2 linked regions of the Lepisosteus oculatus genome follow. The protein of the gene in region 1 interacts with the protein of each later gene in a biochemical or structural test. Links are inferred from orthologs where the notes say so. Each region holds a gene or a part of one and is shown on either strand. Other genes may lie near its edges.

Region 1 (8,023 bases):
CCCTGCTGTCAGGCCTGAAGCCCAGGTGAGGGAATGAGCTGGGAAGACGTGTGGAATCCGGCGCTCAGAGACCAGTGAACAGGCCCGGGTTTGTCTGGGCTCTCTGAGAGGAAGGGGGCAAATCGCGACAACCTCGCATCTGAAACTTGGTTGAAAGCTTGTGTCATGTACATAGGTACAATGTGCAGTGCTCCCAGTGGCAGCCCCAAGTGTCACTAGCCTGTGTAGAACCCCTGTGAACCATCCGCTGATGACAAATGTCAGTCAGTATAATGAAGCTGCTGTGGCCTGTAAGTACGATAAGAACTCTGTGCACCTGCTACAAAACCAGCTTTGTCATTTTCCTGATAACTTAGTGAAGTTGTTGCCGATACGACCAATGCATTTAATTTGATGCTCACATACAGCAAATGCTTATACAGTATAGATAGCTTTTGATGCTATGCATATACAGCAATTGCTTGTGTTAAAGTAAGTGCAACAACATTAGGAACAAGTGAAAAAAAAAGCTCATAACCATTTTAGCTTTTGACATGCAACGCTTGATTTGGAACAATCTGGAGCTGAATAGCTTTGCGCAGTCTGACAACTCCTTTGCAGTTTGACGATGAAGGAATGTCACTTTTCCTGAAGTTATTAGATGGAAGAATGCAGTACAGAGCTGATGTCAAACTGTTTTAAGATTTTTTTAAAACACTCAGTACACCTTTGTGTACACAGTGTATTTGATTAGAGAGCAAGATAGAAGATTTTGATAAAATACTTCCTGGTACAATATTTTAAAGGTCATGTCAAGTCCGTAAACATTAGAACAGACATTTTGTGTAGGTTGTGGTCTATACTTTCCATCATCATTATTATTATTTCTGTTTTTTTTCTGTTTTCTGTTCTAGATAAACAGGCTTCCTTCAGGGAATCATAAAATGTCCTTATTGCAAATACACTATTTTACCTCTTTTTTTTCAAAGTAAGAGGTCCCTCAGAGATCAGTTTCCCCAGAGTGTTTATGTGCCATTTACATGGGTGTTTGCATAAATGGAACAAAAGAGAACCTTTGGTGCACCAGAAAAATGATAGTGTTTCATGTGTTTCAGCACAAAGAAAGAAACAGACAGTAAGTCTACGATTATTGTAGTACCTCCCAGCCAAACGGTAGATTCCTGCATGAGAGCAGGACACTGTAAAACATCAAGGATGCTGGGGGGAAACAGGTTCAAGTAAGGAGCTGCATCAGTGTGCGTTGCCTGCAAAGAAATGAGTAAAGAGTCCTTCCATGCTGAAACATAGAAAGAAATTCAAACATTTCAGCTGTTGAGCCTTTTTCAAGGGTGAAGTTGATTCTAAAAACAGTTCTTCTGCCTCACACCTACATCAAAAAAGAAGGTTGTCTGATTGTCCTTTAAGCACTTAATGGAAATATGTAATAAGAGTTCCATAGGGCAGTTTGTACTCGTGGTTTGTGCTGTCCACAGCACAATCAACCTCTGTGACTGAGGTTGCTGACACTTGCTTGTATCTACCAGCTGCTGACTCGAGGTCTGGGTGAATTTTGGCTTACAGAATTTTCAATCGTATGCATTTGTGTGGTGCATGCAGTATTGACTAAGGCTAGAGCCTATCAGGGCTCTCAGTAGAGAACGCATTCCCTTATCACTCCTGATTTGTAAATTCTGTGTCTTAAGGTTAAGGTCCTTTGGATGAGACGTAAAACCAAGGTCCTGACTCTGTGGTCATTAAAAATCCCAGGGTGTTTCTTGAAAACAGTAGGGGTGTTACCCCGGCATCCTGGCCAAATTACCCATTGGACTTTACCACTAATGGCCTCCTAATAATCCCCATCTCTGAACTGGCTTCATCACTCTGTTCTCCTCCACACTGAGAGCTGGTGTGTGGAGAGTGTACTGGTGCATCATTCATTCCCCATTACCTGTAAAGCGCTTTGAGTGGAGTGTCCAGAAAAGTGCTATTTAAGTAGCTCAGACATTCTGCTAAATACATCTACAACATTGGGGGTTCAGGGATAAGGGAGGGAAACTAAGTGGGGTTAACATTTAAATTTCAAAGGTAGCAGATAAAATGTATTTCAAGTTGGACATGTATTCGCTTATCACCAGCAGATGTAAAGATAGTAGAATTAATGTGACAGTTTCGATTGGGTTTTTTTTTTAGAGATAACACTTCTGGCATTACTAGAAGGGTGTTAAAATGAAACGTTCTTGAGATGTGAAACTAATTCGCACATTAGTTTCAAACACAATTTAAAAGCAATAGGCAGCAGCCACATTTGTTAGCCGGGACAACTACATTTGTGCATGAGGCAGGATTAAACCTAGGGAACCGACAGCAGGATCTTTCAGAAACCAGCACTGTAAATCTCTGGATCACTCAAACCTTTATTTTAAGACCTTTAAGAAATGACAATAAAAGAGAGTTTTAAAGAATGATGATAGTTTGAGAATCGAGAACACAATTAAAAAATCCCCTTCTACTACCAAATAGGTGGCAGAACAAGATCAGAAGAGCCTGATTCTGAAAGCTATGATGGCAGAGAATATTTTCAGCAATACTTATTCTATATGAATTACCTTCTCTTTTGAGAAATCACACTTGCTTCTGAGGTGGAATTTTTTTTCCTGACATTATTGACAGGATTAATGATGAAGCACTATTCTGGTTGAGCACAGTTTTGACGATATTATTTCACGGTGCTATTCAAGGGCAAGAGAACAACGCCACTAGGTGGCCGTTTCTCAAAATACAGCTGTCAATATCCTTATTGTTCTCAAACTATTCTGTGTGAGTTGTCATCTGCAATCATTTGATTTATCCCAGATGAAGCAAATGCACAGTGGACAAACAGATTCAGGGAATAATATATACAAACTACAATCACTTGACAATCCAAGAAAATTGTACATTTTAACCAATTAAGAACATAAACCTAGTCACTAACTGCACATTATATACACAGAAGTAAGCAATTAAATGACTGGCTCTCTAAATGATCTTCACATTTGGAATTACTGTTTGTTTGAAATGTACTGTAATTCTAACCTGAAAGTGTAATCACAAGAGGGAGAAATGGGCATGACATGAACATCGGCAGACTGCTCTTTTTTCTGTCAGACATTCCCGGTCCTGGTCCTGCTGGTTGTGTCCCAGCTCAGCTCTTGGCTACACAACTGAACCCCTAACTGACTGCAAAATAAGATCAATTTGACCTGGCTGCCTTTTCCTCAAATTGTTCTGTTTTCGAACTGCAACCCGTTCAGGGTCAAATCCCACCAATCACACCAGGGCCAGTTTTCCCAGAAGACCATGAACTTCCCAGCCCTCACCAATCATGGCCTCCTAACAATCCCCCTCTGTAAATTGGCTTCATTACTCTGCTCTTCTCCCCACTGAGAGCTGATGTGTGGTGAGTGTTCTGGCGCACTATGGCTGCCGTCGCATCATCCAGGTGGGGCTGCACATTGGTGGTAGTGGAGGGGAGTCCCCATTACCTGTAAAGTGCTTTGAGCGGAGTGTCCAGAAAAGCGCTATATGAGTGTAAGCAATTATTATTATCATCCAGGTGGAGCTGCACACTGGTGGTGGTGGAGGGGATCCCCATTACCTGTAAAGAGCTTTGAGTTTTCTTTTTCTTTTCAGCATGGAATAAACATAAGTTTTTGCTTAAACCTATTACTTGTACTTTTCGCAATTCAATTGTTGCTGGATTGTTTTTTAACCATGTTCTTAAGAAAAAATATCTTTTTTCACGCTGTTTTTTCTTATTTTACCCCGAATGGTCATATTTTATTTTGACAGTGTATCAACCAAAATTGAACAAGCTCTCGATATATGCTGTACATAATGACCTTGATTGTTTAAACCATTTGTTCAATGAAGATATGACAAAGTAAAATGTTGTGTGTGTTGTTAAATAAGACAAATAAATAAAAAAAAATATTAGATAGATGAAGACCAGATCTCATTTTAGGAGCCATTCATGCAGAAATCCAGATAATTCCTAAGGGTTCACAAACTTTTTCTCACAACTGTAAAGCCTCGAACTGCTTATCAGATATCAGACACAGTGGCGCTCCTTGACTTTTTTTCCACAAGGCATACAACCACTGCACACGCAATTATGTACATATTTGCCGAGAGGCGCTAAACACATTACAAATTATGTTGTCGGCTGTCTGTCCTTGCCACACAATACGTGCCCCTTAAAACATTTACACGGCAAATTAAAACAGAACAACTAATCTGGGTGCGATACATCACAAATACTAAAATAAATCGAAAATCTATCTGCCTCCCTTTTCCCCGCGGCTCTTCGAGTACCACAGCTGCCGTGTCGCACACCTGAACGGTACAGCGAATCTTGTACATTTGTTTCTCATTTTAAAGAATTATCGGAAAATAAAAATAAATCTACAGCACGTCACCGTCCCTCACGTGTGTGAATTTCATAGTGATAAAACCTTGATGTTCTTAAGTGTATCAATAGGAAAAGGCACAGAGTTTGGGTCACGTAGCAGTAATCATTTTAATATCACTAACGTGGAACCGAGGGGAAAGTGCGACAGTTATGATCACTTTACGGGAGTGTGGCAAATCTGTTGGATAAGTGGTCTGTTCTGGTTCAGACATACTGGGCGGGCTGTATTCCATTTATTGTTGGGACTACACAGGTTAAAAATATAATAATGGTCAGATTTAAAAAAAAAACAGCAGGTCAAGATGGACATTCCTTAAAACCCTGTAGGCTCGCGCGTTCCGCTCGGCGGCGGCGAGGGGTTATGACGTCACGCGCCAGCGACCACCCTCCCCAGGAGCGCGCGCGCGCCTGCAGTTTTCCGGGGCGATTCGGCCATTTCCAGCGCGCGTCTGCAGCTCGAGCCGAACGGTTTGCGGCGGTGTGGCCTCGCGCTGGGGGGGAGGGGGAAGTGGAGGAAGAGGAAGAGGAAGATGAAGGAAGATGTCTGAGAGCCAAGCCGAGGCGGGAAACGAGATGCCGTCGAAAAAGCAGAAACTGAGCAGCGACGAGAACAGCAACCCCGATCTTTCGGGGGATGAAAACGTAAGGCCGAGCTGAGCGCTTCTAGAGAGAGCGGTGACTTCCAGCGTCGGGGATGCGGGCGGCGTGAGGTTCCCCTTGACGCCCGTGTCTCGATTTTAGACTAAAAAGTTGGGTGTAAAAATGGGTGACTGCTGAACCACAGCAGAGGCCCCGATCTCTGTGCAACAGCGTGAGCCGCTCACCCGCGCTGGCGGCGTTACAGCTGCTGCTGTAGTCTCGGTTCAGAGCTGGCTACTCCTGGCACGAAATTATATTTTTGCCCGGCGATGTAGAAACGGAACGGTATTTCCATCAGGAATATTCTGTTCGTCGTGCGGCCGCAGACACAAGCTCCTAGTTGTCTTCGTTCGGCGCTCTTATTCTCTAAATTTGATATTTTTTGGGGGGTTTCATGTTTCTCGTCAGATCAAACTTATTTATATTAGTTCGATGTGTTTTTTTTCTTCTAACGCGAGATACAGGGGAGATTCGCGGTGCCCAGCCTCAAGGTGCCCGTTGTCTCCCCGTGCGGTCGGTCACCACTCCTGGAAAATAACGTTACAATCCTGCTAAACAGGTCGTCAGAAAGCAGTTAACGTGCCGAAACCTTCGTTACTTCAGACCTTCTTCAAAATGCTTTTCAATGCCAATACCGTTTAAACCGGTGGCTTAAAATACCATTTGTTTTGTGTGTGTTTTTTCTTTGTAGTACTTCGTTTCGGTTGTTTTAAGAAACAGTCAATTGAAGGGTGAAGGACACCTTTACTGCAGCAGCGCTACAGAATTTATCACTCGTCTCTAAAACACGTCACCAAAACGAACCGCTCACTGCCGAGATGGCGAGACGCTCAGTAGAGACAGAGCTCCCCGGAGACATCATTGACAGTCTGAGAAGGAGACTGGGCATTCAGTTGTCGGGCTGACGTGCTGTTTTCATTCAGCCGTACGTGTGATAGAGGATTTCGTGTCGTTTTTAGCTGTTACGGTCTTCAAAACGAAGACGGATGTTTTCAGTGTTAGAAAATGTGTAGCATTTTAAAGCAAGGAACGGGTGAATGCAGGGTCTTCCTGTTGAAGACACAGGTTAAGGAGCCGCACGTTGAATAAGCTTGTAGGACGTTTTCGTCTTTCTTTACATAGAACAGCCTTGAAAATGGCCCGGAAAATTCCGATGAGTTTTCAAACTCAGGGTACGAAAAAAATCACATGATTGCTGTTTATTTTATCAACATACACGGTTAATTCAGGATTTGAGTGTGGCTTTTGTGCTGGGAGCTGGAAATTTCTTCAGACCTAGTTGCCCTTATTGAGGTGCAAGAGGATTAAAATGGGTACTGGGATTATATTTTCTAGAATATTTCATCGTTTTTTAATGTAATGGTCGACACCCGGTTGGATTCGAGTATTTGTTTGCCATTGCATCAATGGAAAACGTACTTAAAATGTACTGAATGAGGTTTCTCTAGCGTGCTGCAATAGAAGAATCAATCACTCGTTTGGTTGAAATAAATACAAGGTGGTCAAGTGACTTCCTGTTGACTTTGAAGCCGGGCAGGATTTTAACCCTGTTCTTAAACTAAACTTTGTTAATTTGTAAACTCGCTCATCTTTGCCATGTGTAATACCAATCAGACAAATCAGTGAAATTGTTCAGCTTTTCAGTCTGTCTTTTGGCAGGAATAGGGAGCAGCCGATCGGGATTTCACATTTCCTGAATTTGGGCATTACAGACCAGTTTTCATCCCAGGTTACAAAGCTGAATGTACATTTTTAGTTCAATTTCCGGTCAGCTTTCGGAATCTTTCCCTGTCTCAAAGTGTCCCATTGTATGCAGAGTCCCATAAATTACAATGCAGTTAATTGTGAGGATCAACAGTCAGTCTTCTGAGGGTTATCAGTCTCAAATCTCCCTTGCAGATGGTTTTATTTATTTGGTTTTATTTTTTTTCCACTCCATGGCATTAAAATGATCAGTGTGCCACGCTGGATGTGTGGCGGAAAGTGCCCCAAGGAAGACGCTGCCACTCTGTGCTGTCTGTGTTGCAGGACGATGCCATCAGTATAGAGAGTGGGACCAACACCGAGCGCCCAGACACCCCCACCAACACGCCCAATGCCCCCGGCAGGAAGAGCTGGGGCAAGGGCAAGTGGAAATCCAAGAAGTGTAAATACTCCTTCAAGTGCGTCAACAGCCTCAAGGTGAGTGTAGCCACAGGAGTGTGCTGAACTAGCTTGTGAGTGTATGAAGTAGGAGGACTGGTCTTTTCCCAGTTTCGGATGAAACGAAAACCGAGGTCCCGAACCTCTGTGGTCATTAAAAATCCCAGGGCGTTTCCCGAAAAGAGTAGGGGTGTTAATCCTGGTGTCCTGGATACATTTCCTCCAGGCCTTTACCAATCATGGCCTCCTAATAATCCCCATCTCTGAACTGGCTTCATCACTCTGCTCTCCTGCCCACTGAGAGCTGGTGTGTAAAGAGCTTTAAGTGGAGTGTCCAGAAAAGTTCTATATAAGTGTCAGGACTAATAGTATTAACAGTTCAGAGAGGTTCGACATGCACTTGGTGTTTTGGAACGTGACATGGAGCTGTGCTTTCACAATTCCCCTAAACTGTAATTTTTAATGCCTGCAGTGCAAAGGGGATGCTTAATGGACATATTTAAAATGTGCAGAATGTGAATAACCAAGCAAGCATCTTTCCATTATGCATGCTTTCCTGGTGGAAGGCACTTGAGAATGAGAGCAGTAGGATAATTGAAAATGGCGGAATAAAAGGAGCCACCAGTCTGTGGTCTGCCTGATTTGGAGAGCTGGTCTTCACTTGTCTCTCCCGCCTCATGGTGCCATTGCTTTGAATCGCAGGAGGACCATGGGCAGCCTCTGTTTGGGGTGCAGTTTAACTGGCACAGTAAGGAGGGAGACCCCCTGGTCTTCGCTACAGTGGGAAGCAACAGGGTAAGTACCTGCACCAGT
Region 2 (7,382 bases), on another chromosome or scaffold:
GAGCTAACTGTAAGAACAGCAGAAAAAGGAAATGTACATCAGATATTCTTAAGTTGTTCACATATTTGTTTGTCTCTTCTTTGAATCAGAGGTTTAGTGAACATTGTTTAAGTGTATAACTTCAATGCAGTTGTGCATGGGGCTCTGATCTATAATACTTACTCTAACTACACTGCCAGTGTGGTTTCATCTTCTTCACAATTCACCCCTGTACCTCAGCAGTATTGCTGGTCTAATAATATTAATAATTTATCATTGATACTTTGTTACTTCATTTTACAACTTTAATGATACATCATCTCAATGTGCTTAAAAATAATCACCAAAAGTGACCTGTATACACAAATCGATAAAGTGAGGAACTCTCGGGGAATTACTGTAATATGTACAAAAAATGGTAAAAATCCGCAATATTTCACAGTTAATTAACAAGGCTAAGATTAGTTAGGTAGGTACAGTAGCTGTCTCAGCATGCATAGGCTACAAATCACCAAGTAAAGGTTTATTCCATAAATAAACTCCAATAAACCTTTACTAGTTCCTCTGAAGGCTAATATTTGCAAATTTACTTTTTTTCCCCATCAGCAAATTGGCATCTAGCAAAAAGTTGTTGTTTTTTTGCTGTTGAATGGGGTTACAACCTCTGTAAGTATTACACAACTAAGTGATTTCAATGCACACACAGATCATCCTGACTGCTGACCTGCTGCCTCTTTCCAACCTACTATGGAAGGCTGTGGTTTTCCTCAACAGTTCGCCTTCACAATACATAGCTGTGGCAATACAATGGGTTTTCTTGGTATTCTTTGTTAGTTCATCTTCATTTCTTCTGACTACTTATTGAATTACTGTGGTGTTATATTTTGCAGACCATCTGCCTCCTACGAACAGTAAATGGACTATGACTATCTGCAGACTGAGTCGAATAAATCCAACTAGTCAGATCAATTGATTGATCTTTATTATCAACCTTATCATTTATCAATTAAACAGTGGAGGACTGGCAGGGATAGTGCCTATGACCAAACAGGCCCAGAGAGCCCAGCCACAGTGTAGGAGAAGGCTTTTCAGTTCTGGGTCAGTTCCTTTTCCCATGTTTCCATCTACGCAGAAAATTACGCAGAAAAGTTGTATATTAAAGACAATAAGCAATGTAAACATTCGATTTGAAGATGATGATGTTGATTATTATTATTATTCATTCAAATAAGTTCAAATAAGACTTCAAATTAATCATATTGGGACACCGTGTGTGCCCTGCGATGGACTGGTGGCCATTCCTTGCATCCAATCCTTGCTGTTATAGGCTCTGGCAATATTAAGACAATTGGGCTTAGATCTGCAACATCAGGTTCACTTAAACCCTGCTACTCACTGCCTGCTACTTCAGTCTCAAGTCCGTGTGCAGGAGAAGAGAGAACAAAAATGAACTGGAAGAAAATGGCCTTACGGATGAGGGAGGCACAGTTTGACATCTGCTTGTGCTGAATGCTCTGCCATACCTTTGAAGGCTGTTTCAATTGGGTCTGCTCACTAATGGCTTAACGGGGATTACGTCACCCTGCACTAGCTGGAAATATAAGGGACTAAACTGCCTTCCCTTGTTTGTGCATTTTCAGAGAGTTATTATTTTAATACGTAATTAATTTAAATAAAACAGGTTACACCATGTGGGAAATGGGATACTTTTTCCCGTGTGACTGATCTCCACATAAAAAGGAACCTTACTCTTGCACCATTCATTTTATGCGTTTGATGTAAATTCCAACCTGATTCAACGAACTGTTTCACTTGGCTTCACATAAAATTAAAATTAAATGGCTTGGGATTTTCCCCACTGTTTCATAGGATCTGCAGGGTACACTTCCTTGTACACTAACTACAAAAATTCACTCTGAGCTGATTAAATATTTACTTGTACTGCAGATAACTCCCTAAACACAGTGATTTGACTGGCATTGCCTGCGAAGGCTGTAAAACTGAGGGTAGGTATGAAATATAAATAAAGGCACTATGTATTCTCACAAATACATAGCTCGGGTGGAGCAGTGGCTCTGTGGCTAAGGATCTATACCAGTAGCTGGAAGGTTGCTGGTTCAAATCCTGCAGCTGGCAGAGGAATCCTACTCCGTTGGGCCCCTGACCAAGGCCCTTAACCCCAACTGCTCCAGGGGTGCCGTACAATGGCAGACCCTGCGCTCTGACCCCAAGCTCTCTCACTGTCTGTGTGTCTCATGGAGAGTAAGCTGGGGTATGTGAAAAGATAATTCCTAATGCAAGAAGTTGTAAAGGGTTATAAAGTAATGTTATATATATTATATAAATAAAAGTGAAAACCTGTCACACATTTGAATGTAAGCAAGTTACATTCTGTTTTTCTGTGTAAACTCAGGCGGTGTATCAGGGCTGAGTTTGCAATATTTATGTTGAGAAGGTCATCACAGGACCTAGTGATACAAGTCATACCCACTTCCTCTCACCCAGCCTAATCCTTAATAATGGGCAAGCCCGCACTAACAAACACAGGCTCGAGGACAGAGTCTCCTCCAACCCTTTGCATTTACACATGTTTGTTCCTGTGAATCTCCATTTATGCTTCCAAGTAAAATGGTCAATGACCAAAGGAAAAGCAAATTATGCAAATCATGAGACGCCAGGTTCCACGCAGCCTGGAGTCTGGTTTGCAGTGGGTTCCTGTTCTGCAGAGTGGATATTATAGAAGTAGCACTAGTTAGAAGTAAATATAGCAAAAAAAAATAGAGAAATATTGCTTCCCTTCCTGCTGTACCTTCTTTATCACTGGACCAAAATCAATGTTTTATTTCCTTCCAATTGTTCCCAGTGTTTTAATTGTTTCCTTAAACGTCTGACCAATCGACATTTTTAGAATCTTTCCCTACAGAGAGAATCTCGGGCTTTGCTAAACTGGCCTCTTCCTGGAGTTCATGGATGCGTGTGCGGGAATTTGGGGACAGCTGGAATATGCTGGGAGCTTCTGCAGTTACAAATGAACCGACGTGTATCAGCATGTGGTTCATGCCGGGATGAACGGCAGCGCTTCTTCAAATCAGAAACCAGACTGCATGGTCACTACTAAACAATGTGTTTCGCTCATTCTTGAGGGTTTCTTAGAGGATTCGCTAGTTTAACAATAAGGAATAACAAACGAGATATCTTTTTTATTTCGCTGAGCTAGTTCTGATTAATTTAAACTGTGTTCCTTAGTTTGGGGTGGGAAATTCTTACTATATCAATTCATAAATCGATCCCTGGGCAGTTGTAGATACGGTAAATGTGAAACCAACATCGGGGTCACAGTAATATTAAACTCGTATATTCCAAATGACGCCGTGTGTTGTGTCTGCATCAGTAGATACTGTCATTAATCTGTTGTACGGTGGCCTATCTACATGTTTTTTACTTTCAGTTTTCGCCTTAAAAAGAAGTGTCATATGGCCTACCGCCAAACTGATATGCGTAATAAAACTTTATTTTCCTTTGGTAAAAAAAACAACAATCCAGAGATCATCAGAACTCAATTCCACGAACTACTGTTTACACACAGCTGGTGTGTACACTAGTCTTTTTTGAAGCAAGAAGAGAGCAGGGTTAACAAATGAATGCTTAAAGCGCTACTATTTTAATTTTATTTGGAGTTCATATAGTTACATTTCTATTTTACTCAAAACAAAAGCCTGCGGTGTCCTTATATGGCAAAAATAGATCAACTTCAAACCTGTCCAATTAACATACATGTAATAATTATTTACGGAAGTAATTGTTATTTTTTTTCATATTGGGACACAGTAGTGTTTTATCTCCATTCCAGACTCGTTGTTACACTCCAGAAATTATAATAATTTTGGGGCAGTGAAAAAGATTGTCCGTATCTACCATCAGTCTTTAAATCTAATAATGCTGGTAGTACAGTATCGTTTCTGTGTGGTACTGCTCCTGTGAACAACTTTTTTTTTCTACCAAGACCCTTTTCTACAGGCTAATCTTCATTTGTGTGCTTCATGTCCAAGGTATAGGATTACGCTCTGTCCTCTGTCTGGTCTCCGTTTTGGCAAAACCACTGTACTTACCTTGAAAATAAACCCCGGAGCAGACCTGCAGGACGCGCGGCAGCGTGGACGCGTCCACGGAAGCGATGTATTCCTGCAGAGACAGAACCTCACCGCTGGAGCCAGCCATCGCCGCCTGCCCTGGACGAACCGGATTGTCAGAACCGATGGTTTGCTACCCCTGGAAAGGACGAAGCGCCGCTGTATCTCGTGTGTCCCCGCTTTACCACGCACCGAGAAGAGCAGGAAGCGCCGAAGAGCCCATCGCGTCTGCACAAGTGGGAGAGGACTGCGGTTTAACAGCTCATCCCACAAGGCAAGGCGAACTCGCTCGGTGGCTACACCTGTCTGTGAACCTGATCGAGGACTTCATACGGTACAAAATCCAGACAAATGGGAGACTGACTTTTAAGGTCGTCGTCCTTAAAGTTTAGGAGAATTAATTACCCTCAAATGTTTCCTCTTTATAATTATACGGTTTTCCTCCATCAATGCACATTAATGCACGTAGTTGGACAGCCTTTTTGTTTAAAAACAAATATAGGATTCACTATCGGTTCTTTGATGCAAAACACTTTAAGGGCATGTAGACACTTGTCAAACGACATCGCACTCTTAATTAATACTTAATTACTAAAATACTCTTTTCAAGAAACGCCCTGAGATTTTAATGACCACAGAGAGTCAGGACCCCCGTCTTACATCTCATCCGAAGGACGGCACCTTCTTACTGAATAGTGTCTCCGTCATTGTACGTGGGCATTAGGACTCAGAAGTTCAAGACTGAACATTTTTAGTGCATAAAAGCCGACATATTTTCCATTCGTATTTAATTGGCGTAATGGCTTTACCCAACAGAAGGGGGACAAATATATCCTTTAGATTTTTGAGCTGCTGAGTTATATGTTCTGTAAGCTGAATTATAAAAATCTTTTTAAACTTTCCATCACGAGACCTGAAAGAGGGCAGAAATATATAAATGTACTTGAGCAGATGATTAGACTGAATAAGGAAGCAAAACGAAAACAGAGAGGTCCACTTTTCGAATTTGGCACACCCCCCTACCAAAGTCTTTTATGAGTCTTCACATTTGTTACATTTAAGAAAAGCTCTAGGGGACAGACTGTAATAACATATGGTCTGTAAAAGGAGATAATAGTGAGTATGAAGTAAAAAATGAAACAACTGTAGAAAGTTCACTGACGGTGAGAAACCTGGTAGGGTTTGATATAAGCTTAGTTTTCTTGCCATGAATTACAGTGCTTATTCTGCAGTATCAACTTCTGTATTTCCAGAGCACTGAGGGTGGTGGAGTTCATTTGCTTATCAGAGGTCTCTAGAGTGTAGAGCTGGCAGTGGAGAGCAGCAGAGAAGAAAAATGTTCTCAGATAGCACCTGGACTCCCCCCACACCATCCCATCCACACACAGTCTGTGACCTAGCTGGTGCCTGGCTCCTCTGTCCAGCTGGTGTTGGTGTGTGTGCCAGTCAGTGTGCTATTCACTGTGCTAGGAGGTGTGTTGTGTTTTGCACTATTCTGAATATCAGAACTTCATGGAGTGAGGTGACGTGGCGTTTCCCACTACAGCTGAGTGAGCTGTGGGAGCAACGCTTTAGAAATGAGTCTTCCAGGAAAAAAAATACATCATCTTCCTGTAACGCCTGTAAAGGGAAGATTATGAAAGATACCTTTGAAGTGGCTAGGAAATTCATGGCACTTTGACAAACCCCAACATTTTGGGACAGTAAAGGAACAGGTAATAGGTTTATTCCATGCCGAAAAGAGCAGAAAGAAAACACAACGTTTCGGCTGTGAAGCCTTCTTCAGGTGTAAGCTGAAAAGAGAAGAAAGCTTACACCCGAAGAAGCCTCTACAGCTAAAATGTTGTGTTTTCTTTTCTTTTCAGCAGGGAATAAACCTATTACTTGTTCCTTTGCAGCCTACGCATGCTGATGCAGCTACCCACCTGAACTATTTTGGGACAGTGCTGCTGAACTGTGAAAGAGTGCAAGGCATTCTGTCAGCAGGACTGCTGGAGAATCGGTTTGGTTATGATCCAAGAAAGGTAAATTGTGATTATCCGAGTCATGCTGTCAAGTTATATGTTAGGTAAATTGATTTTATGGGGTCCTGCAAAAGCTTAGTGAGCTAGCTATTAGTGATCACGTAAAAATAAAGTTTCAAACAAGAGAAGGTAATGTAGAAAATCTATTTTTTTGTAACTAAGTGACCTAAAGGATCTCATCCATTCATTTCTTGAAGGAGACCGGGTATTCGCATCCAAAACTGTGACTGAGCAATTTGTTCCATACTCTCACAACTCTCTAGGAGCAAAGAAGTGCCTCCTGTTCTCAGTTTTAAAGTGCATATCCCTGTAGTTTCCACTTTTGTCCTCTGAGTTTTCTATATTTGTATAAGGTGCACTCATTGTCTTTTCTGTTCAAGACTAAAAGGTTCCGATGTTTCTGCATGTCGGTGTAGAACATTGCTTTAAGCCCAGGAATGTATCTGTGTAATGTATCACATGAAAAAGAAGAGTATAATGATAGGCTTGTGCTTGCTGCCTTCACATTGGCATGTTCTTGATGTTACAAGACGTTTCAAATAAAAGACCATTTAGCACATCCATATCTTTTGAGGGATCCTCGGGCATCAACACTTTTGACCAAAGTAGCTGATCACTTCATTTCTTATAAATGTAATTTTGTCATTTCACTGAAGAAAGGAGAAGCTATGTGGCAGGCTGTTGTCTGAGTCATTACCACACACTTATTCTGTAAAAAGAAAAAGAAATAGAAACAAAAGTTACATGTAGCTTCCTTAAATGTATTGACGGCTTTTGAGCACTTTTATTTCTGGACTTCCGTGTAAGTGCTCTAGCTAACAAACCCACGTAGAGTGCCTGTATTTACCTACAGTATATTTAGTGGCTTCTTATCTTCTACATAACCTATACTTTACGTGTTGTGTTTGACACAGGCTGGTTCGGCCCGAGAGAGCTCCTGCCAGCTGTGGTTGTGTTTGACACAGGCTGGTCCGGTGTGAGAGAGGTCCTCCCAGTTGTTGTTGTGCGTGACACAGGCTGGTTTGGCCCGAGAGAGGTCCTGCCAGCTGTGGTTGTGTTTGACACAGGCTGGTTCGGCCCGAGAGAGGTCCTGCCAGTTGTGGTTGTGTTTGACACAGGCTGGTTCGGCCCGAGAGAGGTCCTGCCAGCTGTGGTTGTGTTTGACACAGGCTGGTTCGGCCCGAGAGAGGTCCTGCCACTTGTGGTTGTGTGTGACACAGGCTGGTTCGGCCCGAGAGAGGTCCTGCCA

Evidence for each region.
Region 2: the proteins of eed (region 1) and nuclear inhibitor of protein phosphatase 1 form a complex in vitro, tested with the Homo sapiens proteins (2 studies listed by BioGRID). The link is inferred for Lepisosteus oculatus from reciprocal best matches to the Homo sapiens genes EED and PPP1R8.

What each region holds. Positions count from the first base shown.
Region 1 is NC_090710.1:28,192,984-28,201,006, forward strand, and holds the start of eed (polycomb protein eed), read left to right. Parts: upstream 1-4,849; 5' UTR 4,850-4,969; coding exon 4,970-5,071; intron 5,072-7,096; coding exon 7,097-7,249; intron 7,250-7,912; coding exon 7,913-8,005; intron 8,006-8,023. UniProt on the Homo sapiens protein: Polycomb group (PcG) protein. Component of the PRC2/EED-EZH2 complex, which methylates 'Lys-9' and 'Lys-27' of histone H3, leading to transcriptional repression of the affected target gene.
Region 2 is NC_090706.1:4,789,092-4,796,473, reverse strand, and holds the start of nuclear inhibitor of protein phosphatase 1, read left to right. Parts: upstream 1-4,295; 5' UTR 4,296-4,383; intron 4,384-7,382. Other genes in the region: protein THEMIS2, read right to left, coding at 4,089-4,197. UniProt on the Homo sapiens protein: Inhibitor subunit of the major nuclear protein phosphatase-1 (PP-1). It has RNA-binding activity but does not cleave RNA and may target PP-1 to RNA-associated substrates. May also be involved in pre-mRNA splicing.